Saccharomyces cerevisiae S288C: one gene and its partner. Each later gene encodes a partner of the first gene's protein in a complex. Each region holds a gene or a part of one and is shown on either strand. Other genes may lie near its edges. A codon is read from its position in the direction of its gene.

Region 1 (3,878 bases):
TTTTTGAAGCCATATCTGCAAGATTCCAGAATTCCGTTGAGAAAGTTTGTCATAGACTTTAATAAATCGCAAAAAAGAGCTCCAAGAATCGCGATTGACGCATATGGATGGCTATTTGAGTGTGGATTTATCCAAAATATAGATATAAGCGCCAGATCTAGATCAAGATCAAGGAGTCCTACCCGTTCTCCGCGTGATAGTGATATCGACAGTAGTCAAGAATATTATGGTAGCAGAAGTTATACAACTACAGGAAAAGCTGTGATAAACTTCATATCTCGATTAAAAGAACTACTGAGTTTAAACGTCGAATTCTTGCTTGTATTTGACGGAGTTATGAAACCCTCTTTCAAAAGGAAATTTAACCACGAACAGAACGCTACTACTTGTGATGATGAGAAAGAGTACTATTCAAGCTGGGAACAGCATGTTAAGAATCATGAAGTTTATGGCAATTGTAAAGGATTGCTAGCGCCATCTGACCCTGAGTTCATCAGTCTTGTACGGAAATTATTAGACTTGATGAACATTTCATATGTAATCGCATGTGGGGAGGGAGAAGCCCAGTGTGTTTGGCTGCAAGTTTCTGGGGCTGTAGATTTCATTTTAAGTAACGATTCAGATACTCTCGTATTTGGGGGAGAAAAAATCCTGAAAAATTACTCGAAATTCTACGATGATTTTGGCCCAAGTTCAATAACTTCCCACAGTCCCAGTAGACATCATGATAGTAAAGAATCTTTTGTTACTGTTATAGATCTACCCAAAATTAATAAAGTAGCAGGGAAGAAGTTTGATCGCCTGTCTCTCTTATTTTTCAGCGTGCTATTAGGTGCCGATTACAATCGTGGAGTCAAGGGTTTGGGTAAAAACAAATCTTTGCAGTTGGCTCAATGCGAAGATCCTAACTTTTCCATGGAATTTTATGACATTTTCAAAGATTTCAATTTAGAAGATTTGACATCAGAAAGTCTGAGGAAGTCTCGGTATAGATTGTTTCAAAAAAGATTATATTTATACTGCAAGGATCATTCTGTCGAGCTATTTGGAAGAAATTATCCTGTTTTATTGAATCAAGGTTCATTTGAAGGCTGGCCATCAACTGTCGCAATCATGCACTATTTTCACCCCATTGTCCAACCATATTTTGATGAAGAAGTTCTCAGTGATAAATACATAAATATGGCTGGAAACGGACACTACAGAAACTTAAATTTCAATGAACTGAAATATTTTTTACAAAGTTTGAATTTGCCTCAAATTTCTAGCTTCGACAAGTGGTTTCATGATTCTATGCACGAGATGTTTCTATTAAGAGAATTTTTATCAATTGATGAGTCCGATAATATAGGTAAAGGTAATATGAGGATTACCGAAGAAAAAATTATGAACATAGATGGTGGAAAGTTCCAAATACCATGTTTTAAAATACGGTATACAACATTCTTGCCTAATATACCCATTTCTTCTCAATCTCCTTTGAAGCGCAGTAATTCTCCCAGTAGAAGCAAGAGTCCCACACGACGTCAGATGGATATAATGGAACACCCAAATAGTCTTTGGTTACCCAAATACTTGATACCTCAATCGCATCCATTAGTAATTCAATATTATGAGACACAGCAACTTATACAGAAAGAAAAAGAGAAGAAAGGTAAAAAATCGAATAAGTCTCGGCTACCACAGAAGAATAACTTGGATGAGTTTTTAAGAAAGCATACTTCGCCGATTAAAAGTATCGGAAAGGTAGGCGAGTCGAGAAAGGAAATCCTGGAACCTGTGAGAAAAAGGCTTTTTGTAGATACAGACGAAGATACTAGTCTGGAAGAAATACCGGCTCCCACAAGACTGACCACCGTCGATGAACACAGCGATAATGACGATGATTCGTTGATTTTTGTAGATGAGATTACAAACAGCCAAAGCGTTTTAGATAGTTCACCCGGTAAAAGAATTCGGGATCTTACACAGGACGAACAGGTTGACGTTTGGAAGGACGTAATAGAAATATCACCAATAAAAAAGTCAAGAACTACTAATGCTGAGAAAAATCCGCCTGAGTCTGGTTTAAAATCACGCTCAAGCATCACAATCAATGCTCGCCTTCAAGGTACTAAGATGTTGCCTCCAAACTTGACTGCTCCAAGGTTAGAAAGAGAACACTCCTCTGTCCTTGACCAACTTGTCACAGACGCACAAGATACAGTCGACCGGTTTGTAGCCTGTGACAGTGATAGCAGTAGCACTATTGAATGAGTTAACGGGCACAGCGTCAAAAAATCCGCCACCACAGTTGATCGCGCCGAAAACGAGGGAGTTGCGATGAGTAAAATGAAGGGCATATATAAACAAGAGTAGACAGAGACACATTTTTCAATATCATATATATAGATTTAATTGGAAAGACAGTTATATTCTAACGTCAAAAACTTAACAAGTAAATCAAGTTGCAATGTCGTCGCTTATTTCAAAAACCATTAAGTATGATCCAGCCAAGGATAAATTAATCACATTAGCATGTGGATGTTTTTGGGGTACAGAACATATGTATAGGAAGTATTTGAATGACCGTATAGTGGATTGTAAAGTAGGTTACGCTAATGGAGAAGAGTCTAAAAAGGATAGCCCCTCTAGTGTCTCTTATAAGAGAGTTTGTGGTGGTGACACAGATTTTGCGGAGGTTTTACAAGTATCCTATAATCCCAAAGTGATAACTTTGAGAGAATTAACTGATTTCTTTTTTAGAATCCATGATCCTACTACATCTAATTCACAAGGACCTGATAAAGGTACACAGTATCGCAGTGGATTGTTCGCTCATTCAGATGCTGATTTAAAAGAATTAGCCAAAATAAAGGAAGAATGGCAACCAAAATGGGGTAATAAGATTGCCACAGTTATTGAACCAATCAAGAACTTTTACGATGCTGAAGAATACCACCAGTTATATTTAGATAAGAATCCACAGGGATATGCATGCCCTACTCATTATCTGAGAGAAATGTAGCTTTTTTAGTGTACGTGCCCTTATTTATGAAAAAAAGTCAAGTGCATGAATGAAATATTTACTGTTGAAGAATTTATTATATATATAGGTATACAGGATCTATCTTTTCGATAACGTAACTTAGTATCACATGTATTAGTATTAATACTGTGATAGGATTGTTAGCTGTTGTTTTTATATTTGCAATTTATTTATGATCTTTTTTGATGATCAAACCGTTGAGTTTTTGAACATTAAAAAATAGTGAGAAAGAAGAACTGAAATGGGAATTGAATTGATCAATATCTGTAGTGGTCGGCCTTGAATGGACCTTCTTCTGGAATACCCAAGTATTCAGATTGGACTTTACTCAATTTAGTCAATCTAACACCCAAGTTGCCCAAGTGGAACTTAGCGACAGCTTCATCCAAGATCTTTGGCAAAACGTGGACACCAACTTCGAATGGGCCTGTCTTTTGGAATTCAATGTGCTTTTCTCTGAAAGACTTATCGTTAGACTTGAACAAAGCAATTTGAGCTAAGACTTGGTTAGAGAAGGAACAAGACATAACGAAAGATGAGTGACCAGTAGCACAACCCAAGTTAACTAATCTACCGTTAGCCAACAAGATGACGTGTCTACCAGAAGACAACAAGTAACGGTCGACTTGTGGTTTGATGTTAATACATTCTTTAGCGTTAGCCTTTAACCAGGCGACATCAATTTCGATATCGAAATGGCCAATGTTACAAACAATGGCATCTTCTGGCATGTTGATGAAATGTTCACCGTTGATAATATCTCTACAACCAGTGGTGGTAACGAAAACTTGACCAATGTGGGATGCATCTTCCATGGTAACAACTTGGTAGCCTTCCATGGCAGCTTGTA
Region 2 (3,185 bases), on another chromosome or scaffold:
GAAAGCTCGGCGAAAGATGTATCAATCAATGGTACCAAGAAACTATCGGCCAGAGCTACCGATATATTCATTGAAGTCGCAGGATCGATTGTTCAAAAAGACCTCAAGAATAAGCTGACGAACGTCATTGACAGTCATAATGATGTTGATGTTATTGTTTCTGTCGACAATGAATATCGTCAAGCCAAAAAGCTCTTTGTCTTTGACATGGATTCAACATTAATCTACCAAGAGGTCATCGAATTGATTGCCGCTTATGCTGGTGTTGAAGAACAAGTGCACGAGATCACAGAAAGAGCCATGAACAATGAACTTGATTTCAAAGAGTCTTTAAGAGAACGCGTTAAATTATTGCAAGGCCTCCAAGTCGATACACTATATGATGAAATAAAACAAAAGCTAGAGGTCACCAAGGGTGTGCCAGAACTATGCAAGTTCCTTCACAAAAAAAATTGCAAGCTCGCTGTTTTAAGCGGTGGTTTTATTCAGTTTGCCGGTTTTATCAAGGATCAGTTAGGTTTAGATTTTTGTAAGGCAAACTTGTTGGAAGTTGACACTGATGGAAAATTAACCGGTAAAACACTGGGTCCTATCGTAGACGGACAGTGCAAGAGTGAAACCCTTCTGCAACTATGTAATGACTACAATGTTCCAGTTGAAGCAAGTTGTATGGTGGGTGACGGTGGTAACGACCTGCCAGCCATGGCTACCGCCGGGTTTGGGATCGCATGGAACGCCAAGCCAAAGGTGCAGAAAGCTGCACCTTGTAAGTTGAATACCAAGAGCATGACTGACATTTTATACATTCTTGGTTACACCGATGATGAAATATACAATAGACAATGAAGAAAATAATGATAGATAGATGTAATAGAGTTTCTTTTTAAAATTGTTTATTTAAACTGGTAAACATGATGTACTTTACGTAGCGTTAATATACCGGCAACTATACGTTGGAAGCAATAGCTTGCTTGATAGCAGCTGGGTTGGCACCGACGACTCTGGTAACCTCCTTACCGCCCTTGTAGAAGATTAGGGTAGGCATGGAAGAAACTTCAGCTTTTTGAGCAACATCTGAGACTTCATCAACATCCAACTTGTAAAAAGCAGCGTCAGAATATTGTTCTGCAAACTTTTCAATCATTGGTGCAATCATTTTACATGGCCCACACCATGTGGCAAAAAAGTCAACAACGACTAACTTGTCGCCAGATGCTAAAGCACTGTCGTATTCAGAAGCGGATTTTAATTGAGTGACCATTATTGATGTGTTATTTAAAGATATCGTAGACTCTCGTGTATGTGTGCGTGTATAATTCTTGCTAGACAACAAATAAAAACTGGTCCTCGTTATTCTCTTGTCAGCTTTTCATCCCCCGAATGGCTTTCTTATATACTGATATCCCTCTTTCGGCTGGCTGGAAACTGAACGCGCTTAGTAAGAAAAGAGCCACCTTGTAGGGAGCATCCTTTACTAAGAGTATAAACAATTACACATATACTTTGATGATTACTTAATATTCACTGGCACTCAAGTTATGCTGATCTTGGAGCGATCTTGAAGCCGAGTATGTCATTCTTACCGGGCTCAACAAGACTTTCTTCACTGACTCTCACGCCGCCAACGGTTTCAATGCTTGCAATGGTGACCTCGCCACCCATGATATACCTGGCAACTTTGCCAACAGGGGTTCCTCGCTTGACCAAAAAACAATCTCTAAATACGTTGGTTCCGTTGCCACCCGTAAAAGTCTGGATGTTCTTCACAGTGTACACCGGTATTAGACCAAGGATGTCCGTTGCTGCTTGCAGAACCTGAACAACACCCGTAGATCCGAATCTATACAGGACCAAATCTCTGATATTTTCAATTCTGTTAAGGATCTTGTCGTCCAGTGGCTTTAGTTTGTCTGGCTCGTCCTCAAATGTGTCAACAAATTCCGTGCCCTCCTCGTATAATATAAAACCTTGCTTTTTCAATTTCCTCAAAAAAACTTCCGTCACTGCACTGGTCAGTACAGCTTTGGTGTCAGGATACTTTAGCATGATTTTAGAAACATTTTTATCGGCGTCAGGGTGGTCAATCTTGTTGAGTGCCAACACAGTTGGAAATTTCTCCATCATAAAGGACTTGACCACTCGAGTGATCCATTCGTCATCCCATTTTTCCAAAGGTGGTAGTCCCTTCAACCTGTCCAGGGCTTTTTGGATCATGGGCGCATGTGAACCGTACCCACCGAATTGCGCTTGAAGTGTGTCCACTATGCTAGATTTCGTTGCTGTATGTTTACGCACAATAGACCCCCATCTTTTCTTCAGGTTCCCCTCAACCCAAAGCCTGATTTCGTCTTGCAGCCATTCTATATCGTTCAATGGATCATATCCTCTTGTGTTCTTCCCCTCTGCATCTGTGGTTCCACTAACGTCCACCACATGAATAAGAGCATCTGCGTGTCTTAAATCATCCAAGAATTTATTTCCAAGCCCTCTGCCGGAATGCGCTCCAGGCACAAGCCCTGCCACATCCAACAGTTTGATGGGGATATGCCTCTTACCCTTGCTACACCACCCGTAGTTAGGTTTACAAAGATCTTCCTTGCCAAATCTGGAGCAAGCACACTCAACTTGCAAGTAGCCGGTTGCCTGATTTGGCTCGATCGTGGTAAAGGGAAATGCTCCTACCGCCGCACCTGCGTCCGTCAAAGAATTTAATGTGGTGGATTTCCCTGAAGATGGCTTACCCACAATACCAATCAATGGATCCCTGGGCATACTGGCTCTATTTCCGTTTTATTCTTACAGACAGCTTATACTACAAGTTAGTTGGACAAAAGCTAAAAGACGGAAAACGAAAACGCAAAATGAAAATAAAACCAACTCTCATTACAATTCATCCTAGAACACTTACACATCTGTTTTGCACTGCATAGCATTACATTTCTTGCATATCTATCTATTCGAGAAAAAAAAAAAAAGGCATCGAGTGAATTTTTCACCTTGATAAAAAAGCCCTTACTAACCCTACAATAAATTGTGCCGAAACCCTCTGGAGTTTTCTAGAATATTCTAGCCCCATCAGGGCTAGAATATCCTAAAAGTTTATAGTTGACGAAAATTTTTCAGCGATGAGATGCACATTTATAATGCTATGATGTTCAACGCAAAGGAAATCATAGCGTTATCGG

The links. Proteins that work in one complex are often made in the same cells at the same time.
Region 2: the proteins of MXR1 (region 1) and TRX2 are in contact, whole or in part, in a crystal structure (PDB 3PIN), measured with the Saccharomyces cerevisiae proteins. Residues at the interface, in NP_010960.1 of Saccharomyces cerevisiae: Trp27 (codon at 2,531), Gly28 (codon at 2,534), His31 (codon at 2,543), Gly173 (codon at 2,969), Tyr174 (codon at 2,972), Ala175 (codon at 2,975), Cys176 (codon at 2,978), Pro177 (codon at 2,981), Thr178 (codon at 2,984), His179 (codon at 2,987); in NP_011725.3 of Saccharomyces cerevisiae: Trp30 (codon at 1,174), Cys31 (codon at 1,171), Gly32 (codon at 1,168), Pro33 (codon at 1,165), Asp59 (codon at 1,087), Val70 (codon at 1,054), Ser71 (codon at 1,051), Ser72 (codon at 1,048), Met73 (codon at 1,045), Pro74 (codon at 1,042), Gly90 (codon at 994), Ala91 (codon at 991), Asn92 (codon at 988).

The regions. Positions count from the first base shown.
Region 1 is NC_001137.3:232,485-236,362, forward strand, and holds MXR1 (peptide-methionine-S-sulfoxide reductase), read left to right. Parts: upstream 1-2,452; coding exon 2,453-3,007; downstream 3,008-3,878. Other genes in the region: YEN1 (crossover junction endodeoxyribonuclease), read left to right, coding at 1-2,256; SAH1 (adenosylhomocysteinase), read right to left, coding at 3,286-3,878. UniProt on the Saccharomyces cerevisiae protein: Has an important function as a repair enzyme for proteins that have been inactivated by oxidation. Catalyzes the reversible oxidation-reduction of methionine sulfoxide in proteins to methionine.
Region 2 is NC_001139.9:911,967-915,151, forward strand, and holds TRX2 (thioredoxin TRX2), read right to left. Parts: upstream 1,262-3,185; coding exon 947-1,261; downstream 1-946. Other genes in the region: SER2 (phosphoserine phosphatase), read left to right, coding at 1-846; YGR210C (uncharacterized protein), read right to left, coding at 1,537-2,772. UniProt on the Saccharomyces cerevisiae protein: Participates as a hydrogen donor in redox reactions through the reversible oxidation of its active center dithiol to a disulfide, accompanied by the transfer of 2 electrons and 2 protons.